Linked DNA regions of Drosophila melanogaster. The protein of the gene in region 1 interacts with the protein of each later gene in a pairwise test. Each region holds a gene or a part of one and is shown on either strand. Other genes may lie near its edges.

What was found. Proteins that work in one complex are often made in the same cells at the same time.
Region 2: the proteins of CG13168 (region 1) and CG15919 interact in a two-hybrid assay, tested with the Drosophila melanogaster proteins (one large-scale study listed by BioGRID).
Region 3: the proteins of CG13168 (region 1) and hoe1 interact in a two-hybrid assay, tested with the Drosophila melanogaster proteins (one large-scale study listed by BioGRID).

Annotation. Positions count from the first base shown.
Region 1 is NT_033778.4:12,249,464-12,257,542, forward strand, and holds CG13168 (uncharacterized protein), read left to right. Parts: upstream 1-4,528; 5' UTR 4,529-4,897; coding exon 4,898-4,901; intron 4,902-4,957; coding exon 4,958-5,552; intron 5,553-5,608; coding exon 5,609-5,758; intron 5,759-5,810; coding exon 5,811-6,144; 3' UTR 6,145-6,238; downstream 6,239-8,079. Other genes in the region: Vha36-2 (vacuolar H[+] ATPase 36kD subunit 2), read left to right, coding at 7,892-8,079.
Region 2 is NT_033778.4:16,789,553-16,796,401, forward strand, and holds CG15919 (uncharacterized protein), read left to right. Parts: upstream 1-3,089; 5' UTR 3,090-3,104; coding exon 3,105-3,229; intron 3,230-3,320; coding exon 3,321-3,528; 3' UTR 3,529-3,627; downstream 3,628-6,849. Other genes in the region: RalGPS (Ral GEF with PH domain and SH3 binding motif), read left to right, coding at 1-83, 160-363, 604-714, 1,187-1,799; CG15615 (uncharacterized protein), read right to left, coding at 3,756-4,133, 4,193-4,336, 4,402-4,479, 4,541-4,630, 4,692-4,763, 4,843-5,148, 6,684-6,707.
Region 3 is NT_033779.5:4,926,663-4,935,586, reverse strand, and holds the start of hoe1 (hoepel1), read left to right. Parts: upstream 1-3,202; 5' UTR 3,203-3,494; coding exon 3,495-3,673; intron 3,674-7,193; exon of another isoform or gene 7,194-7,393; intron 7,394-8,924. Other genes in the region: hoe2 (hoepel2), read left to right, coding at 1-78, 152-324, 402-747, 803-1,191, 1,249-1,575, 1,628-2,302.

The DNA.
Region 1 (8,079 bases):
GTTTGTAGACCACGCCCACCTACAGCCCAGGCTAACGTATTCATGGGAAACAGTGTTGCTTTCCTTCCTGTTCCATTTCCACCGCTCTTCCTACCAACATCCGAAAATTCTGTGTGTGTATAATGAATGCTGGCAGTGTGTTGGTTGGTGGAAATGCTTCTATGCGTGTGTGCGTGTGAGTGCGATATCTCTCTCTCTCTCTCCTCCTCTCTCTCTCTCGCTTACTTGGCGAAGTGGTAGCTCCTCCAAAACGGCGTCCAACATGACCTACATTCCGGATCCGGGCGACGATGTAGCTAAGCAACTCCAGGGTCTCGAAGCCACCATCTCACCCTTGGCCGCATCCGAAAAAGCAGGAAGTCCGGGGAGCGCGGGAAGCTCAGCGAAAGCAGAAGAACAGAAAAGCACGCAGCACGCATAGGAAAAAAGGACTCCCCTCTGGCAGTCCTGCCAGTCCGCCTCCCCTCTGCCCCCCCTGCCACCTTAACCCAGTCATCTTCCCAGTCAAGACTTATAAAAATTGTTTTCGGCCGCTTATTGGCAACAAATTTGCGTGCCTTGCATACAGAACAGCAACGGCAAAAGGACGAAAGCCAGAGAACAAACGCGGAGTTCACTACAGTAAAAAATCAGTACTTTAAACACCTCATAAACAGAAAAAAATGCATTGAAAATCAAGAATTTAAAGCTTCAGTTCTCAACACTCGAATTTAGGATAGAAACGATAACATACACACTTTTCAGATACTATAAACATAATTTATGTGTACTTTACTTAAAATACAATTTCGCTGGCATTTTGTATCGAGTTTTATTTTCGACTGTATCGCAAACAAGATGAGAAACCTGATATAGGGCTCTCCCACAGCGACTTCATTACAAAGTTTGCCAAATTGTGTAGGCGCTAAATGCAACAAATACACCAAACAATTTATTAACTTGGTCTGAAGAGATTTTCGCCGGCTTCGCGAGGAATCAGTCAGATGAAAGTAAGCGGCTGGGTTTACCACTAACAAGTGAATTTTGTTCGCCATTTTTTTTTCGCAACGCAATATCATCAATCATTTTGGCCCGGACATTTGCTGCTTTTGGCCTAAATTAAACAGGCAAGTCAGGATATGGGAGGGGGGAGGGAGACGGAAGTGAGGTTTGGCAAACAAACCCGGTGCACGTGCGGTCATTTTGTCGTTTATTGTTGACTTTGGTCAAACAGAAAATATATAATAAATACAATATTTGAAGATGATCACAGCCAGGCGATAGTCAGCACGTGCTGAAATATGTATGAAATAAAATATCCATCTTATATCATAATTAAGTATCTGCAAAGGTTCGCAGAAGCAGAAGCTACATGAATGTTGCGTGATGAAAATATGTAAGCAGAAAAGTAAACTTAATAGCTAATACAAAAATGCCTGTAATTGGATATTATTTGTATGTATTAAGTATGTAATTACTTTGGCATTTCTGCAACGGCCCCCATTTAGGAAATGTCAATATCTACGCTGATCCAATTAAAGTTTCTTGAAACTGTTTTTGCCCGGATTTCTTTGATAAACTTGCCAAGGTCCTGGAATCCTTGATTTGGATTTGCTGCTTGAATTTCAATTTCGTTTGTTCTCCAAGCGTAGCGAAAGCTAAATCTTTCCCAAACTTTTGATAGTTTATTAAATTATTATAAAAAAATGAGGAAAAAAATGCTCGCCAAAGCGAACAGAAACTTTTCTAATAGCAACAAAAATTTGAAACAACCAAGTCGAGTGGATGGGTAGGCTGGTTGGGTGGCTTGGCTTTGGCTTGGCTGGATACACTTTGTTAGCCAAGTTAACTCTTTGCAGGTTCTGAACGACAGTTTGTTCTGTCGCTCGCTTCACAGTTCAGAACATTCAAATTACAGAGAAGGTTGGCAAGTCAAACCAAACGGAAGCAAAAGCCAAAAGTTCTCGGGGCAACTTGAGTGCAAGTTGCTCCATAAAATGTGCCAAACATTACCAACTCAAAATACATGCCAGACTGCCTCGGAACAGATCCAAAAACTACAGTCCAAAAGTGTAACTGCCAAACGGAAACAAGACAGGGAAAAACCCAAAAAAAAGACAGAGAAATTACCAAAAAAAAACACCAAGAAAGCCATGAAAAATTCAGAGGAAAGTTGTCCAGGTGGGCGACAGGATTCAATGGGGCGAGAACTGGGCTGGGTGCCACTTCATTTGCCAGTGCGAGCGCTTCCTTTGGTCCTCGCTCAGGTGACAAAACCAGGTGCCCGGCCAAATGGATCCTGCGCGGCAACTGAATGCCTTCCGAGCACAATCGAGTTGTGGGAAAAGGAAACTATAACTGTACTGTACTCCGAGGCATAATAATCCTGTCCGTGGCTATAATTTACCCGGAAAAGCGCCTTCATACGAATGCTTTAATTCGTTAAGTCGCTCTTAATGAGAAGCCAATAGTGAAAGTATAACTTTGAAAAAATATTATAAGATGTTCTCGTTAAGTTTCAAGGTTTCTAAGAACTAAAAATCTAAATCTGTTTATAAACACTGCTCTTATAATCCCATCTCAAACTACCACAACCTAACACGAATCTAGATCTATTTTCTTTAAAGCGAAACTACCGCAAACTAAATTCGTATTTTATCGTGAAAATACCAAGCCATCCTGCTCAAAGGAAGACCAGACCCAGGGGCATATCTTTAGCTTCCGCTGGTACGAGACCCAACAACCTGACCTTCCCGATGGCAGCCCGAGCATTATAATAACACTTTCTCAAAAAGGTTCTTTATGGGGTTTCCACCCCATTCCATTCCATTCCCCATCCCCACCATTCCCTAGCCACGAACCACCACCCACCATTAAGCACAGTTAGTTAGTCGTTTCTTGTTTCTCGTTTCCCTTTCCTTGAGTCCATTGTTCCGCGGTATCTCCGCTGTTCTCGCCTCTCCCTCTCTGTCGCCCACTTCTGCGCGACGACTATGGCCAAAAGTAATCTTCCAAGGCAAATGTGAACCACAAACAAATTTATAGCTGCAATGCGGCCAGGCCGAGCATAACGGGCCCACATTTCTGTGAAATCTATGTGAGAGCAGATGTGCAGAGGGGATGGAAATGGAGAAATAGAACTCAAAAGGAAACTGTCGAGTGAGGACGACTATAAAAATATACAACAATACTGCCAAGGCAACGGGACATAATGAGCCAGGGCCAGACGGCCCGAAACGGTAAATGGTAAGCGGTAAGTCTCTAATCGGTTAACGGTAAAGCCGAGCTCAGCTGAGCGAATGTGGGCCACCAGCAGGAGAGCGAACCATTTTGGCTTTGGATTTTTGCTTTTGCCCTGCACCTCCTTTGCAGTACCGTTAGCGTTTTTCTGCGTTCGTGCTTTGCATGGCCATTTGTTACGTATACGTGTGCGCAAGACTCTCGTTCTCTCTGCAGACTTGCCTTATTTGGCTGCATACTGTAGGGCGCTCTCCCGTTACTCCTGAATTTCAAATTTCGATGCATAACTTGAGGCGCTCGCTCTCTCTTTCTGAATCTCTCTCTCTCTCTTGTTATGTCCCTTTTTACTTTACACGTTTTGCTGCACACTTTGAAAGCACATTCTCTCTTCTTGCTCTCTCTGCTTGTTTATGCGTCATTTCTTTTGGCTTTTTCTCACACATCTCTCTTTTTGCAAAGGCAACAACAAATATTATGTCTTGCTCAATTTTATTTTTCTTCCCTTTCATCTTGCCCTTCCTTTTTTTAGTTGGTTCGCATTGCAGCATTTTATTTGCTAGCTCATTTATGCAATTACTACTGCCTTTAGTTATAACATATTATATATTTATTCATTTTAAGAAAAAGTACTGACCCTTATTATATTATTACTTCGTCTAAGTAACTAAAATTTATTTAAAATTAAATTAGGTAGGATGTGCTGAGACTCCACTGTACTAGTGAATCCGATTTTTGGCAGATTGCAGCGAAGGGCTCCCAGATTACATTCACTCTGTGGCTCCCCCTTTCATGCCAGTTTCATTAGGTAGATTTTCCACCTGAGTGAGGAACATTTCACCACCACCACCAACCCCACCCACCAACATTGTTCTGCATTCACAAGTTCGTTTCATGCTCTTATGGTTTTCTTTTTTCCCAGCAAGCCCCTCTGCAGCGCATTTTCCCTCGTTTGCTTTGCTGCAGCAGCTTTCATTCATGCCACGTCAGTTGACATAATGCGACATGGCCACACACAAGCAACAAGCCACCCACCGAAGGCGAGCGCCCACCGCCCCCTAGAAAACCGCCCCACACTCTTCATTGTCGACTACTGCACTTGGCAAAAGTTTCTACCAGTCATTGCCATGAAAGTGCCATTCAAATTTACCGCCCCTCGCCACGCCCCCTTCTTCAGTTGCTCCTTGATCGAAAGGGTTTCTATTTGGTATATATTCTTTGGCTTTGCAACCAGGCAACACGGTCAACATAGCAAGCCATGTTTGTTTATCCCCAAAAACAATAACAAACTCGGCTCAGAATTCAAAAAGACCTCGACACAAGCATAGCCAGAAAATCGGAAAAACATAAATTATAGAAAAAACAAAAGAAGCATAGAAGTTAAGAATATTCAAACAAGTGAAATACGCTCAAGAACATTTAATGGAAAAAAAAGCTTCACTTTCCAGGTTGCGGCAGATTAATTGCACCTATCTGCTTTAACTTCGTGATTTCGTTAATAATAAATAGAAAATTCCTGTTGTATCCGAGAGTCGTTTAAATTAATACATTTTAAAAGAACCCGGCACACAATTATATCGCAAAAAGGAAATTTTGTAAAGTTATTAATGTCTGTGTAAACGAAAATCTTTCAATGAGGATTTTATATATGCGCCAGGATCCGTAAAGCTGCTAAGTAAAAATGGGTTAGTATAAAATGAATGTTTTAAGACAAAACCAGTCATATCCTTTTTCCTTCCAGATACCACCGCCGAACGTCAGGTGAGACTGGAAGGAGTGGAACGTGTGCTCAAGATGTCCCAGGAGCGCATCAAGATAGCGATGATCATACCGAAGCTGCTGGAGAATCCCGAGAAGTTGAAGAGCGTCCTGAAGGACACCTGCTATGAGGAGGTTCTCGAGCCCATCGATGACATGATCCGCCACCTTGGCAAGCAGAGTGGACGTTCCAAGCTGCCACATGACCACACCACCATGCGAATCGTGGACTTCTTCCTGGTCAACCATAGCATTCATCGATTCTTTCCGCACTTGAAGAAGAACCTAAACGAAAGGGATCGCCAATTGCTGGCCGCCTTTCACTTTCTCCTGGAGAGCGCCCACGTCCATCTGCACCGATCCTCGCGTAGCGAGATTACCAAGGAGCGAAAGCTCCATGCCATCTTTCATCAGAATGTGGACATCAAGAAGAAAATCAAGGAACTGAAGGCGAGCCTGGCCTTCCAGAAGGTGATTGGCAAATGGAAGACGGCCGCCAAGGGCATCTATCTGATGAAGGTCGAGGAGGATCTGGCCAATAAGAAGTGGCAGAACAACGTGGCCATTCAGAACGAAATGTAACTCGGATTTCTAGTTCTAGAAATTCTTATTTGAATATATTTACAAATTACAGTGAAAAGTGCCATCGCACGATGCGAAGCTACCACAAGAGCAGCATGGACAGGCAGAAGGAATTGGAGGAGGAGCTGCAGAATGCCCGGGAGAGCTACGAGAAGATGACCAAGAAGCATCTGGCCGAAGAGCACGAGCTGCGAAGCGAAAAGTAAGCTACAAATCGAGTAATTTATTATTTAAGTGCTCTCAATCCTTTATAGAAACAAATTGCTCCTGCAACTGCAGAGTATGCTTAAGAAGTACGATACCAGCCTGGGCGAAAAGATGCGTGAGAATTTGGTGGCGGAGGATCAGTATCTGGCTGCCAAGAAGGTCCTCGACGATTTTATGGTCCAGTACAGGCAGGAGGAGCGCATCTACAAGAACATCGTGGTCAAGCGAGAGGAGGAGGAACGTCGCGTGCAGCAGGAGAAGCTGGTCATCTTCATGATGAACCGGGCGGCGGGCAAGATTCAAAAATACTGGCGCAAGTGGAAGAAGGATCAGCGCAAGAGGAAGCGCCAGGGAAAGGGCAAGGGCAAGAAGGGAAAGTAGTGTCCCAAACCGGATCTCTGTATATTTCTACATTGTACAATTTATATGTAGAAATACGAATATATTCCAACCTTCTACTACTACTAACGTGTATATATGTATCCTGTTTTCTCATTATTTTTTAAAACTGTCACATGCTAAAAAGTTATGTTTGCTTGAGCTCATTTGTTGTTTGCAAGCTTTTGTGGCATGAAAATCACTAAGCATGCATAAGTACCCATGTATGCAAATTAATATTTCCATAAGAGAAAAGGCAAATGTTTACTCGCAATTAAATCGTGTTTACTTGGCACTTGACAACACACAGAAATTTTCTGGAATTTCTTATATATTCTAGAGTAAAGAAATGATTATTTCCTTTATTCAGCAAGGCTAACCAATTTTATTAAATATTTTTCTATTGAACTGCGATAAATTTCGCCTAAGACATTGTCAACGCGGTTTTTTCTATGGGGTCAGAGGGCGAAATGTGTGGCTTCCCTGCGATTGCGAAAATCCAAGAGAGAATGAAAACGCCTGGCAGAATGTTTACCCAACACGCACACACACACACACACACACACATACAGCGATGGAGGGAAAAGCCAAATTTTCATGTCTTGCGGGGCGAACGAAAAATGGCGCATTGCTGTCGTCGCCAAGCGACAACGACTACGACAACGACAACTACAAACGCTCTTTTGGCCCGATGTTTGCTGCATTGTTACTTCATTTTCATTCTCGTTTTCGTTACCTAGCCATCGCTATTGCCACACCATCACCCACCACCCACCGCCCAACGCCCAGCTCACACCGCACCACCAACCCTTGTGGCATGTCTAATTTTCCAGAGGTTAACATACTTAACTTGTTGGCATGCGTTGCAAATGCGCCAAGGCTGCGTTGCACCAAGCGGCGCCACATTGCGACAATTCGCTGCGGCAAAGGAAATCGTACGGCAGCTGGAAAATGGGCAAAATCGCCGTCCAATGGTGTCCAGTGGCCAACTGTCCAATGGGCAATGTGAAATCCCAGTGGAATGGTCAAACGTTCCGCATTGTAATTGCACACACACACGCATTCGCTGGTTTGCCGATTTGTGGACATTATCTTTAGCACAAATAACAAATGTATTATATGTGAATGATTCCATTTTCTAGGGATTAAGCTAATGTAAATTAAAACATCATTTTCGAGAGCTAAATAAAAATGCTGTTTTAAATATCAGGCATAGATAAGGCAACGTTGCGTATGCGTAATTTTCCATAGGCAACTATGCGTATGAGTAATTTAAAATGATTTTGGCGGATCAGGAATTTGTTTGGTATTTTTTTTTTCAATTATAGGGTTAACAATTCATTTAACTGATTGATAAATAGTTTAATTAGTATAATTACAGCCTAAAATAACTATTCATTTCTAATTCTTATTTTGGCAAGCACTAAAATTTCTTATTCATACAAAATATTTATAATATACACCACTGCATTCACTATACAAATTGAAAGTTTTGATAAGCTCGAAAAGAATTCAAGGGAGTAAATTTGTTGACTTTTTGCCGATTGAGTCATAAAATCCCAGCTAATTCATAGCACTCTTCCACAATTTTCATATTTATTCCATAAGCATTTGAAAACCTCTTATAAGCGTGGTTTTAAAAATATACATATGTTTTTATACTCACATCAGTAATTCGTTTGTAACAAAGTCTACAATTCGGCCAAATTCAAACTCTACGTGATCAGAGTCCAATTCCAAAGTCACCGCCATGGCCAAACGCGATATCCTGCCCATCTTTCCATCCCGCGCCAATTCGGTGATCATGAAGCAGCGCGTTTTGGCGGCTAGAAGGGGCGTGGGTCTCCTCAAGCGGAAGCGGGACGCCATCGATATGAAGCTACGCGAATTGCGTCGCATCCGCTTCGACCAGGACATGCACGGCGATGAGGCGATGCG
Region 2 (6,849 bases), 4.5 Mb from region 1:
AAGCATGAGGCGACACAAAAGTATTTGACTTCGATAAGGTATATAGAGGAGTTGCAGAACATATTCGAGGAGGATCAGTACAAGTAAGATTAATCTTTTGAATCCGAGCTGTTTTCTTATCTAAAAATAATGCTGTTATAATACTCATTAACCTTTCAGGCGCTCTCTAAACCTGGAACCTGCGTCGCCCTCTGGACCCAGTTCTTCGTCCTGCAGCTCAAAAGAGTCCTTCAATGTGGAAGTAGTTACTCCGGCCCTTGGATGCCTAAATCTCTCGCCGGCCAAAACCATTGGCTCCATGCGAATGGCAAGCGGCACAAAATTTGTGCCAGGCCATCGCAAGTGTCGCAGTCTGGGCACCAAGTAAGTAAAAGGAATCCTACGTTTTGAGAGCCAACACTTGGCTTCCCTTGTTAACCACCTGTTTGAAATCCACCACCTCGAATCACTGCGCAAGAATTGGACATTTGTACACTGGGTCCTTATTAATCGTTTAAATCTCTATGTCTCTCACTTCTACCGTTTTGCTTTTGTCTTATGCTTTCGTTTTGTGTGTGTGTTCGTTAATTGTCAAACATCCGCCTCTGCCCAAAACGAATGAAGATTTCGCAGCAGCAGCCTGCCGCGAAACTTTGCCGAGAAGTGCCAATGTTGCATCGTCATGATTGCGCCGGGCATCGGCACCATCTCCAACAAGCGTTGCAGATGCCGTCGGTGAGTCCAGAACAGAGTCCTGTAGCTAGGATATGTGTGTATTGCCAGCTTGATACTGAATACTACTGATTCGATGCGTTATCCTCATTTTAACATTTGATGTGTTCAGTTATCGTCTCCTCATTTTCTTTTCTTTTGCACGGACCCGAGTTGAAAATGCTATGATATACACAAATACACGACCCAACACTTGACTCATTTCATTTGATTTTGATTTGGGAAACCATGCATTACTCACCAACCTTACGCACACAACTTCCCCGAACATATTAGAAGGTTCTATCGCATTTATTTTAAACAAGAAACCTTAGTCAATTCTATGCTGAGAATAAATCGATATAACCTACAAATACGAATCGCAGTTCACCCTTGTTTGCCTTTTTGCTATTTCATTTCTTCTCATTTGTATGAACAGCATGAATGGCTCCAACCCGCAAGAATATCTTGACTAAACCATTTTCTCCTTTTACAGCATTTTTGGCAAGATTGCAACGCACAACCACAGCGATGGACATCCTCACCACCTGCACCTGGAACTTGATCCGAGTCAAGTGCAGCCTCGTCACCACCTGCTAGATGATTCGGTCTTGGAGCACAGCGATGCCCTATCCCAAGCAGATCTAACATCGTTGGAAAGTGCAGAGGGAATTATGTGTGATTTTACCGGCAGCGATTGCGATTTGATGTCACCAGAGGCAGCAGCCGCCATGCACGGATGTGTCCGGCGTAAAACAGTTCAAAAGGAGGGAAGGAAGCCAGCGGTGGCATCTTGGCAACGATACTGGCTACAGATTTGGGCCAACTCGCTGGTGTATTTCCCACCCAAATCCTTTAAAGGAAGCGAACGCAACGACTTTAAGCGGGAACCGTGCAAAGTGTGTCCATTGGATGGATGGTATGCCCACGTGAGCGATAACACCAAGCACAAGAACACCTTCGAACTGTGCCACCGAACTCTGGGCACCGTCTATCGCTTCCGGACGGACAGTCCCCAGATGACGCATCTCTGGTCGAATGCCATTTGCAAATTGGCCACCATGCGAGTGCCCAAACCTCTGCCCACCAACCTAATGTCCTTTGAATAAGCCGGGCGCCCAAGAACACACAGAAACTCGAATATATATTGTACTCATTGTAGCCTAGTTTATCTAGTTTAGTTAGCTTTAAACCTTGAAACGTGCACAGCCAAAAAAAAAAACACCCACCCACCACATCGCTCACTCACTCCCTGAAACGAGGCAACCACAGAACATTCCCGCAACCACAACGAACGAACAAATTGCAGCTTGCATCAGATGAATCGATTTCAAAATGGTATTTCAAAAGACTGACACCGAATGAGAACACGAAGATATAGTAAAGGAGGAGCAGTACTACGAAAGTAGCCACACAATCACAACAACAACAACAACAACAGACTAAACCGTCAACGCAGGGAAATTAGAATCCCAAATTTGTAATGGCCCTGTTATAAAAGTCCAATTTTATTTGAATTTGAATGTATCGGAAACGGAATTGATAAAACGGCTTGTCATCGAATATATATTTATTTTAAGATTGTTCAGTGACCCAGAATTTAGAAATGTAGTAAAATCTGTAAATGGGATCCAATACTACTAGCTAAAAACCAGTTTATTTCCGAATTCGCTTAGCTTGGCAACAGGGCTGTCTTTTTGTTAATGTGCTGTCTTTGCTGTACTTTGTATTTGTAAAATGTTATATTAAGTAAATTACTTGGACGTTTACTCAACTTAATTTTGCGCAGACTGTGCCATATTAGTTTATAAATTTATGTGTCTACACAAACACTGTTGGCCAGCAAACGAATCCAAATTCGATTTGCCCAGCTCCTAACTTTGTAACGAAAAATCAAAAATCCAACGAACTTTCTACGCGTAACTAAGGGCTTTAATATTGTGTATCGCTACCACTATCATGATCAACATCCGTTAATCTCTATATCTGCCTTAAGTTGATGCACTAGACATAAATAGAGCTATAAAGTACATATGTACGTATCAACAACAAATGCATGCGTAAATTATAGGAAACGAAAGTAATGTTAGTGTTTCTTTTTTTCGGTTGAGAAATTGAATTGTAACACCTAAGCTTTGTCACACATACAGATTATCATTTGCAGTGTTTTACATTACATTTAAGAAAGAAATGCAACAAAAACAAAATAAACTACAAAATGAAAGAAAAGAAATGTGCGTTATATAAGGCATCTAGGGTTATTCACAACCCAATCAGATCGTGCAAAGTGCGGGAATTTGCAATTCATTTGCACAGACGCACTGAATCACAATTAGGGAGCTCGGCTTGCCGTGAAACTGGAGGCCTTTAAAACGTGAAGATTGGCTAATAGCCTCGCCAGTCGATTGCGAAACATGAAAGCGGCGAAAAGTGGCGACAGGATGGCGTATCCATGGATTAAAATGAGGCCCCTGCTGATGCTGACAGTAATATTGGTCATTTTCTTCAGCTACGGCCTGGCCGGCAAGACGACCACCATGTGAGAGGATTACGCAACTAGCCAGCCACTAGACCACTTTCACTAACTAATCCACTAATCCATCCTCCTTTCTCCCTTTCGAAAAACCCAGCGTTAGCCACACAGACACCCTCGATCCGCAGGCCGATGGCTTCTGGGTCAACAAGACGACGTGGAACGCTCGCTGGGTAAAGTACTGGCGGGCCAAGAAGATCTACGAGCCGGTGTGGAAAAAGGTCTGGACACCCACCATTCACAACGAGTGGGTGCCCTTGCCCAATGTGCCCAATGAATGGGAGGCGGAAAAGGATCGCTCCTAAAAATAGCACTGAGACTGAAACATAGGCTAAGATTATTTATGGTTTAGTTGTTTATATTTTATTTTATATTCACTGGTAATTAAAGTCTAGAGATAATTTAAAGTGGCGCCAAGGCAAATGGAAGTGGAAATGGATGGCCTTATGAGCTAGCGACTGGTTTACGACTATTTACAAGGAGCTTGGAACCGGGCGCTGTTATGCAACCGTTTAGGTGATGCAATGACCTCCTACGCGCCGGGAAACTTGAATGACTGCGAGGTGGTGGCCACCGAGGCGGCAGGTGCTGCTACGGGGGATTTAGCTGCCTCCAGAGACTTGGCCTGGAAGTCGGCGCTGGCCACTGGCTGCAGCATTGTTGGCTTGCCAGCGGCATTGGTGTCATCTCGTTTCCAGACCACCTTATCTTTGCCATCTGCCGTCCTGGTGGCCGTAACACCTGTGTCCTTGCGATCCCAATCATGGTGCTCATGATGATGATGATCGTGGTGATCGGGCGAGGGGAACCATTCTGAAATGACCACTGGCTTCCAGATCTTTTTCCATCCAGGCACCCAGATCTCCTTCCAGCCGGGCACCCAAATCTGCTTCCATGCCTCCTTCCATTCCTGAAAAGAGTTGGAATATTTAGTTCGGATTTTATTTCTGATTAGTATGATAAACATACCAATTTATCGGTCCAGATTTCCTTCTTCGCTGGCTTCCAGTACTGCTTCCATGCCTCCTTCCACTCCAATTTCTTCTCTGGCACCCAGATTTGCTTCTTGGCTGGCTTCCAGATCTTCTTCCAGTGCGATTTCCAGACCACTTTCTAAACATTCGGGATTTAAGTGTTTAAATAACATCCTTAAACTTAAAATATATTTTACAACCAACCTTCTTCCACAAATCGTGGCTGGTGTACTCCCAACCTTCGTGATCCTTGCCCAAATATTTTTCTCCGGGAATGCCAACCTTTAAATTAACATGATTCTTAGCTACATGCACTTAAAGGTAAATGTATATTCCATTATACCTTGACTAGTTCTGGTGTCCAGATCTGCTTGTAATCGGGTACTTGAATATCCTTCCAGGCTGGCACTAAAATCTCTTTCCAGTGAGGAACCTAATATACAGAGTGTATATAGTTAATTGCACTTTCATTGAGAGTTAAATTTAGAACATACCCAAATTTGTTTCCAAGCTGGAACCTGTATTTCCTTCCAGCCGGGCACTTTCACCCAATGTGGCTTCCAGATCTGTGATAGACATAATTAAAATTGTACTCAATCCCTAAATATATTGATTATTTATTTTATTATAGACTAAGCTATTTACCTTCTTCCATGAAGGATTCCAGATTTGTTTCTTAGCCGGATTCCAAATTTTCTTCCATCCCTCCTTCCAAGTGACCTTCTTCTTCCAGTACCCGGGGTCATGGTGCTCGTGATGATGTTCGTGATGTTCGATTATGTGCTCGTGATGGTGGTCGTGGATCAGGTCATCGCCCAGACCCAATCCCAGATCGATCCTCTGCTGAGCGACACTTTTGCTATCCACCTGGGAAGCTGCAGGCTGCTGATCCACCACAGCCTTGGATTGACTGCCTCCGATGGCCAAACAGAGCACACCGAGCAGACCCAACTGAAATGAGCGTGGAAGTTTATGCTTGTAGTTAATAGATACAAATCAAAAGACTGAGACAACGAACTCGGGCATGAAGAAAGCTTGTTTAAATTGAATTCGCAACGATCATGTTAATGAATTCCATATTCTCCAAAGAAAGGTGAGTGACTGAAAACCAGTTTTAAGTGGGTCAGAGTCTGGCATTGTTTTTTGGGCGACCGACAAAGAAATGTTGCATAACCCCAGATGTTTATAATTTCATACAATGCCTGACCTGGGTCAAATGAGCTAGCTGATGACAAATCATGCTGGGCCAAAGACTTTTCGGGTCTGGGCCCTCTTTATTTGGCCAATTTGTTTTATTATGTAAATGGGTTTTTGTATTATTCGGATAAATATGGAACTGTTGGATAAATGACGCAAGCCATCTCTGCATTTGGAGAATCCAACAAGGTCAGGAAACGCCCTCGTGATTTCGCAAAATTAGCCCGATTTGTGGTTACAATTTCAAAAGACCCACAACCAAAACACAATTCCAATCAATTTGCGCATAAATGTCAACGAGACCCGGCCCGATTATGAAATGGAAATTAGCGCCAGCAAAAATTATCTCATCGGATAGTGCTAATTGTAGCAGATCGATCGTGTCAGCTTCCTCACTTTGGGTGGGCAGTGAAAGCTACGCAGACTGGTTTCGCCTGCAGTTGGATCATCGGTCGTGAGGGAAAAGAGTTGGCGACTCCGCACTGCACCCCACGGATATATACTATATGTATGTATATATCTATATAGTATGCCCCCTGGTCGCTAATGAAACGATCGCGATTTTAATTGTTGACAATGTGGCTCATTTGTCGGAAGGGAATCGCCGGGCAGACATGGGGCACCTGAAGACTAATGAAAAATGCATGGATCGTGATGTTGACAAATGCAGACCGGCAGGAAGAAAGTGTTTTTCTTGCATACTTTTACATTCCCTAAACAAAAGATAAATCAAATTTATCTCAAGTTTCAGCAAAAGAAAATTATTTCCTTAAATAAATGCATATCCTCTACAGAGCAAAATAAGGTAGTATTCACTATTTAAGAGTTTAAAACAGATGTATTTATTTATACAAATTTAAATTTCGTTAGAAAATTCAAATACTTGAAATAACGCATTAATTCGACTTTAATCTCAGTTATTTGTTAGTAGAAATAACTATCTCTTCTACTAAATATCTAATTGATGATATTATCGCGCTTTTGCCTAAATTGCAAACAACGTGATTACTTAACAATTCAAAAAGATATAACCAAATTGCAAATCACCTTGCAAGCCCAAGGCTTAACAATTTCCTTAGAAAAGTGCACTGAAGCGTACATCCCTTAAATTTATTGCCACACCAACTCGGCAGCCTATGCAAACTAAGTGAAATAATTGCCAACTTTTGGCTAATTACACCATCAGTTCCACTTGTGCAGCCAGCACCCGCAACCCCAATTCCATGTTAATTTCCATTTCGCGACACTTTTTCACAATTTTTTGTCTTTTCTTTTTTTTTAGTAATTACCACAAAATGCCGATGGATCCTCATGGCTCCCGATTACAGCTGGTGAAACGCTTAAGTTAAGGCACTATCGGTATATGCACTATTTGGCGGTCTCTTTTGAATATATATATATATATGTATTGATCACTTTGAGCCACTTGGGATGGGTTGTTACCACCACTTTGGC
Region 3 (8,924 bases), on another chromosome or scaffold:
CAGTGGTGCTGATTTCGGTGGGCGAAAAGCATCTGCTGGAGAAGACCATTGATGTGCCAATGGGCGAGGAGGGAAAGTGTGAGTTTCCATCTATTTAGTTGATTTATTTTTATTTTTTTAATTTACATTGGAACATTGTTTTTCTAATTAGTTTTCAAGCTGCTCCAAAAACCCACTGGTGACTTCCGCTTGAAGATTCATGGCGCTTTTAGAGAGCTCTCCACGCTGGATGCCCCCGAAAATGAGACTTTGAGCTTTGGATTTCTGACTGTGCAGCCACAGGTGTCCACTTACATTGGCGAGAATCACAGCCAGGTGTTCCAGGTGAGTATTACATAACTACTGCACAATCGAATATAAAGTTGGCAAGATGTAAGCTTTTTTTTTTTTGGATTTTTCAGGATATACTTCCAGCGTGGCGTTTACCACTGCTCTCCGAGGAGGAACTGATGCTGCGTGCTCCGGCTGTGACCACCAATCGCACCTACCAGATGACTCAGGAGTTAGATGAAATGTTGGCTGGAAAGAACAGCGAATTTCGCTTGCATATCTATAGCGATGTGGAGGTGGATTTGGCCATTGTTCTGAACTATAATCCCTTGATAGTGAATGCCAGGACAGGGAGCATCCTGGCTGGTGTAATCCTGCTAATCTTCTATGCACTGCTTGTTTGGGAACTCTTCGAAAGAACCTTTGTGGCCATGATATGTTCCATTCTTTCGGTGACGACTCTAGCCTGTTTTAATGGTTGGTTACAGAACCCGGGTATTTCTTCATTTCTTAATTATTTGAAATTCCCCAGATCGTCCCAATATGGATGAGATTATCCAGTGGATGGACATGGAGCTACTGACTCTACTCTTCTGCATGATGCTGCTCATTTTGATACTGACTGAAACTGGCGTATTCGACTACCTGGCCGTATTTTGTTTCGAGATATCGGGTGGCAAGATCTGGCCCATGATATATAGTCTCTGTTTGGTCACCTGCCTGGTGTCCAGTGTGCTGGACAACATGACAACCGTGCTGCTCCTGACCCCAGTGGCAATCCGATTGTGCGAGGTAATGCAGTTGGATCCCCTGCCCGTGGTGATGGGCATTATAGTGCATGCCAATATCGGAGGAGCCCTGACGCCCATCGGAGATCCCATCAGTATTATAGTCAGCACCAATCACTTTATTGTGGATAATGTGGGTATAACATATAGGTTATGCAAGCTGTTATATAGATTTCCCCTACCTTTTCAGGATGTAACTTTTCCCACATTTGTGGCCCACACATTTCCAGGTGTCATTCTAGCAGTTATTCAAAGTTGTGTGTACCTGCGCCTCTTCTATCACAATATCGATGCACTGCGTCTCAATGAGCCCAAGGAGATGAGTGAGCTGCGTAGGGAGATGAAGGTGTGGCAGAGAGCCTTGAATGCAGTGGCCTCCTGTTCCAAGGATGCCCAGCTGGTGAGGGGAACGCTCCAGGCTAAGATTAAGCAACTGAAAAGGACCCTTAGAAGATTGCAAAAAGGTGTGGGCTCCACGGAGGTCTATACGAATACGCTGGACGAGCTCAAGCAGAAAGTAAGTGGATTTACTGAACTGGGATCTTTATAGCTGAGCAATCCATTTCCAGTACCCCATCAAAAACAAGACGCTGCTTTTGCAATCCGCTGGAGCCCTACTCTTCGTCATTGTTTGCTTCTTCATCCAATCCGTGCCGCACTGGAGGACATTACCCCTGGGTTGGGTGGCCCTGCTGGGTGTGATCCTGCTGCTGATCATCCTCAATCGCGATGACATGGAGCACTTGATGCACCGCATCGAGTGGACCACGCTGCTCTTCTTCGCCGCCATGTTCGTGATGATGGAATGCGTGGAGAGATTGGGAATCTTCGCCTGCATCAGTGAGCTCACCGAGCACGTTATCCTTTCGGTGGGAAAGAGTCATCGTCTGGCCATGGCCATCTTTATGATATTATGGATGTCGGCGCTGGCATCATCCATATTGGATAGTATTCCGGTGGCAGCCATAATGGTGAAGCTGGTGACCTCTCTGGTGGCCAAGCCATCGCTGGGACTGCCCCTCCAGCCACTGGTTTGGGCTCTGACCCTGGGCGCTTCGATGGGCGGAAATGGAACGCTCTATGGCGCATCAGCCAATGTCATTGCAGCCGGAATTGCCGAGCAACATGGCTATAAGTTGTCCTTCACCCGATATCTGAGAACAGTTTTTCCCATGATGCTGGGACAGATCACCCTGATGACTGTCTATCTACTGGTGGCGCATGTGGTCTTTGAATGGCATTGAGACTCCCTATTTAATACACATACTGAATAACATATTATTGTATCTAATGATGGAAAATGTTTTTCACTTCGAATCTAATCGTGTGTTTTTTTGTGTGAGTTTTACTGTAGTCTTTGTCCTTTTACATTCGCCTCTTGATGTGTTTCATGTGTTTTTGGCATATAAAATAAGAATATTTATATTTAAGCGTTCATTTGTGATTGGCAAATGTATAAAAATATACCATAAATATAAAAGTACACATGGTTTTTCGTTCGCCTTCGTGGAATTTGGCTGGACTGATGGAAATCACTTTTGGTAGTCCATCAAGGCGGTGTTTTTAATGTCGTGTGAAATGTTATAAATTTAGACTTTATTGTCTAAGGTCGAAGTGGGGAAATCGTGAAAATTCAACAGGCCATAAATACAAAACGAAGGAAAATTATAGATTTGATTTTCAAATTTCAATAAGAGGCAGTTCTACAAGTATTTAGATACATTTAAAATTCGAAGCGATGTCTGTATTTTAGAGATTTCAAAGCACAATATAAACATATAATAAGTTAAATTATAAATATCATAATTCTCGTGTTTTCTAGTTTATCCCATATGCACCTTGGTTTGGAAAACATAAACAAACGTAAATAATTCCTGAGACTGACCATTGCCAAGTTCAATGTTGACCAGAATATCCGCATATGAAAGTGCTTGCATGTACATATACATATATATTAAAAGCGAGTATATAGCATATAGTATATGGAAAGAAGACAACTGCTGGTCAATAAATGAGAATAAGACAATGTGGAAAAGCAGCGAGGGATTTCCTCGGGTGGTTGTTGCTATTTATTTGCTCTGCTACTGCTGCGCTTTCCACACTTTCCACAGCGCTCGTTCCATAGGTAAATTGTATTTTAAGTTCACAAACAAATGGCCACGAGGGATTGCGAATGGAGGAGGTGAAACGGAGGACCCGACCTGTCCGCCATGTGGAGAGGAGACTGCCAGCAGTTTTATGGCAGCCGCGAGAGGGAAAGTCGTGCCGACAACGACTGACTGAATTTTAATTAATTTGCGCCAAGGAATAAAGTGAAAATTGGAAATTGGCTTATTTGGCCCAGACTGGCCGCCCTGCAGGCCAAATAAAAATGTGATAAGCGTACGAAATTACGCCGAAATCGAGTTGGTTTTTTTTTTTGTAAGGTGAACCAAGATGACATCTCCCTATGGATACAGTAAGCCCACCTTTATGATAACGGACCACACTCGCGATCCGTATCATCTGCAGCCGGGTGATGACGACGACGATCGGGATGAGGATGAGGAGCGTCAGACGAAGCTGCAGGAGATCATCAGTTGGCTGCACTTGAATGCCAAGCATCGCAGCAAATGGTAAGTCGGCCGCATCAAGTATACGCCGCGGGTGGCCCATGCAAGTCAGCTTATATTGATATTAAGTATACGCCCGGTTGGCCACCGCCACTCGAAGTTTGAGTTGTTTATTTGCCCGGTTCCGTTTTCTCATTAGCCTGGCATTAAATTGTGCTGCAGGAGATGATGGACCCAAAACTTTTCCTTTTAATGTCCTGCTAAGCTTCTTAATAACGGTCCATTGGTTGCGACTTGTTTGTTTTCCGAGATGAAATCAACTCGAGGACATTTTGTGGATTTTAAGCCGCTGAGAGCCGCAACAGATGGTTTCCATTGAGATTGATTACAATTTATTTGTTTTTTAGTTGAAGCAGACACAGCAGTTTGTATATTTCATACTCCATATGCGTTGGAATTCCAGCAGAGTAATAAATGCGCTTTTCTTCGAAACTCTGATTGAAATGATACTCCTAATCCGAATTAATCATGTTTTTGTTTTGTTAGGGATTTTTTCCATTAGCTTGTGGTTATAACAAAATGCCAGGCACGAAGGTATTGTTGTATGCAATTTGTGTGAATAATTCGAAGAATAGTTGGCATATACCCATTTCCAATCCAAGCCAATCTTTTGTTCGAGCAATTCGCTTCTGGGAACTACCATTCGATATAGGTTGCTTATAATCGATAATGTAATACCTTGGACACGTGCAAAATAAACTGAAGTACGCAGTGCAATGTGGAGATTATAAATAAACAATGGGGAATAAATATTGACTTGCGTTGCATTATATTATTTTATTTATAGTTCTCTATTTCCGTTGGCAAATACGTGGTTCAGCAGCCTCCGCAGCTGTTTGTAGGTTTTTTTGTATTAAGTTAAGCATTCGAATTAAGTGTCGTATTCAAATTAGTGCACTCACTCCCACACAAAAATTATCGGTGTAGTGAAAACCTAGGGTAATGCGAATTACATACGCAGTTGGTCCTCAATTAAAAGTTCCGCCTTGTTAATTAACAATTAAAGGGAAAACTCGAGACGGTAAATCACTGAGTTCTCTGGTTTATAGCGCAGTTACACTTGGTTGCAATAGAGAAGGCTGCTCATAAATATACAGGGTGTGTGGAGTCGACTTACATACTTGGGAGCATTATAAAGCATTCATAAACAACGAATAATAAACAACAAAATATGTACAATAAGCAACAGAATTTCATACAGAAAATGATATATTTATATAAACTTAACGATTTTTCTTATAACTAGTTTCCGGGACACCCTGTTTCCATTTGACATATTCTTGACAATCAAACCTGAAGTGAGCTTAGCTTATTATATAAGCGCTCGTTATTTACATAATTATTGTTTATTTACTCACGCTGAGCATTTGTTGTATACATCTACGTCTTGACCATGTGTAGAATCCACTAAGTACTGTATGCATATTGGTTGCAATTAATTTGCATTTTTGCATTGGCTGATACCAAGTAATTACAGCTAACACATCGATAATTGCCGTTGGCCAATTGGCAAAGTTTATGGATACTAAAGAAAAGAGGGAAGGGTTAAATACAGTTGGGATTATGGGCTATAAGTTATTCGCACTGACAGCTAAACACTTTGATGTGGCTGCCCATTTTTACGCTGACTTTCTGACAAGCAAATGAAAAGTCATTCAGTAGTTTCAAGTCCACCCAGAACCACGTGATCCCTCCACGGAACATGCAACCCAAGTTTGGTGGTCCCACGATGACATACATATATGTATGTAGAGATATGTGTGGAAACTTGTCAATGGTTTGTTGGGTGGGTAGCTTGGTGGCATGAAGGAGGTGCGAATAACTATCCCTGTACATGAGGGTTTTCCGCTCACAATTTTCCAACAAACTGTAAATACACTTTTTCTGGTTGCCAAGGGATGAGCTTAGGGGCTGTAAAAGTTCCGGCTTGAATTTGGAATGTACTATGTGTCTCTATGGGGGCCAACCTTTGAGGCACAATTGAGTGGAAATGAATTATGTATTAGTTGTTATTATGAAATGGAATGTACTCAATAGCTTGGCTTATGTGGTATTACAGTTTTCAACCAACTATATTAATGTATTAAGAACGGAAATGTTAAGAGAAAGTAACTGCTGATAGCATTTAACCCATATAACTCCGAATCAACTGCACCCATGCCCCATATTATTCAGATGGATAAGCCGCAGAGACCTTGGGCGAAGATACAATTGTTATTGGAAGAAACACACCTATTGCGTCTCACTGTGGATATCATCAGCGTTATTATTACTATTATTGCCATCGTCTTATTGAATGTGGGTGAGGAAAATTGCGGAATAAAAGAGCATTAATATTCCAGCTTTAAAGTCGCTCAAATGTCAAACGGCTCGTGGCGAGAAATAATATATATATACACGAGTTCACTTTGAGTTCCTTGGAGTGTGTTTGCGTTTCATTGTCCGTGGCATTAGGGTTTTTGGGATTCGGATTGGGTCTCGCATTTGGATTGAGTTGGGGCACAGCAGAAGCTGTTTGCTGATAAACTCGCCTTTTGTCTGCCCATACAGAAGATACAAAAACGTACGAGAATGTGGCACACAAACCACACATGCAAATGGAACCGCGCGTGGACGTCTATATTGTCGGAATTGGAAGCTTCAGTGGGATTTATCAACTTTGGCCTATAAATAAACAAGCGGACGGCCTTAAATTTGATAAAGCTGCCTTTTTCTGCAGATTTCACTTTCGTTTCTGAGAAAGCCTCGAGAGCTTTCGGCGTGATTCTCTTAGTTACATACTCGTAAATGCTGTATCGTCTCATTTCCATGACTATTTTTGGGCTGTATGACAAGTGATTTAAATTCGCACTAATTGCTCGACCGGTTGCTCGTGGCTTCTAAGCTCTGAATAGCATTAAGTCTACCGATTAATTGAGCAGACTTAAGTTGGAGTAAACAAATGATTAGATTGTGTGAATCACATGTATTTATTGCAGATTCACCACCCATAATAACTTATTGAATACAAAATATTTTCAAGACATTAGACAGAAACAAAGGTAACCAATAGTAACCGAATATATATGTTATTATTAGACTTAAGTGACTTAAGGTTCTATAAAATAATAATTAGCTATAATTAACCACCGATACAAATTAGTTGTGCGTGAGATACTTTTAAAGCACTCTTCTCATAAAATAAACAACTAAAATTCTGCCGGTCTAAAAGACGCAAGTTCAAGTTGTTGGCCATTGGAATCCGAGCGATTCCAGCTGAAAAAAAAACCTCGAGGCATTCAACAGCTATTGAAAGCAGCCAAGTTCCATTCAATTCTCGGCGGCGCTTTCAATGCGCCGTTCAACCGAAAACAGCTGCGACTTCGGCGCCGCACGAAGTAGCAACATGAGTATCGGAATAAGTAGCTATAGCTACGCCTGCATGGCATCGGATCGGCATCGGATGGGCATCGGATGGGCATCGGAATCGGAATCGGCAGTAACCGGCTGAAATAACTAGGAACGCGGCGCCGAGTCCGCAGATTTATTCAGTTTACAACTTTCGCTCGAAACGGACGTGCGACTTTGTCCGGCAATCCGCGTTCGAGTGGCAAACAATAGCTATACAAATAAATAGTAATCAAACAAGCGAGTGCACAATAGGGGCATAAAACAACAACAAGAGAAAAAAAAAGTAATTCAAACCTAAAGTGAGCTTATCATCGAATCTAACTTCTTAAGCAAGTGAGACTTTTCTTGGAAAGTTCAGGGTTGTGGCTGCAGCAGGTCGCTAGACAATCTAAAGGAGATAAAGGCACATTTAATTATGGAAATTTTTCCTTTGTTTCACGCGTATTTCCAGTTTCTTATTACCTCGGGATAATTTTGCTCATTAGGCGGGCCCAAAAAGAAGCAATTCCTTTGCATTAAGCGTTCCTAATTAGTCTGCTTCTGACTTTCTGAATAATTGCCTAGCGTCTGGTGACCGCAATGCACATCTATATATATTTATATATATATATCTAAATTAATTGAAGGATTCCCCAGGATTCAAGTACGTTTTCTATGTGGGAATCGTTGCACTTGGTATTCACAAATTGGTGGCTAAACATTCAGCCATTCGATGGCATGTGAGCAGGTCCTTCGGACTAAATTAGCCTATCAGTTGCTGGCAAATATTTCATAATTTATGGATCGCCCCTTTTTGGGCCCAACCCAATCAATAATTGACCACTGACAGGCCACGCGAATAAGTAATATATTCCGCAGGACAAATTGATTCATCAGCATAGCATCATCGTGTGGTAAACTCAAAATATGAAAATGGAAATGAAAATGAATAGAGCTCCCCCAAAAAGTAGGCAACAACGAAATGAAGACCCATGCGTGTCAGGCTTTTATATTAGTTTTTTAAAGCTTTGCAAACTTTTCACGACACTCATTTGAAATATTCATGCCAGTCTAGATGTGACACATCGCATCCATCATTTTTGTCCCCCCACCAAAACTGGTATAGCATTTATGAGCTAGAGCTAACGAAAATGGCTTTTAGGGAAAACTCAAATGTATTTTAAGTGATTGCTCGAGGGTTTCGACAACACCAAACTTTTGTGGCGTTAATTTGCCAAAGGATTCCAGAGAGCCTTCAGCCAGGATGCGAAAAGTTTGCTAACAAAACAATGAAAAGTCTGCGTATACAGCCCTCCAGCTGATTTGCATTCGAGTTTTAGAAGAGTACTTATGTTTCACTGAAATCAATTACTAATTAGACTAATGGATGTCATAACTTTCTTTAACCAAATGACTTTAAGCAGGCTTGACCCAAATTTCGTGGAATATTTATGGGTTTCACGCCCCACTAAATAGATGGCTTATCCACCTTGTTGACACATTATGTATTAGCAAACATTTTTTGTTGTTGGCAAATATATAAAAATATATTCCGCAGCGAGGCGGCGACATATCTGTGAAAGCAATTTCCGCTCAACGCACAGGATATTTTCGGCAACATAATATATATATATATTGTTTTTTTTTTTTGCGGTGAAACATGGCACCGAAGGACTGAAGTCCTTGCCACGTGTCTGTTTTGCATTTGACCCGTAATTTTGGCCACATCCTGTCGGCCTAATCCCCCAGATGCCCTGCCATAATTTGAAATGTTTTCGGGCTGTGTTTTTTAATTATACGCCCCTTTTAAATTGTTTAATGTATGAAGGGGTATGCCGACTAATTAGCAGCAAACACCATAATTAAGTAGAACTTAATACGAATG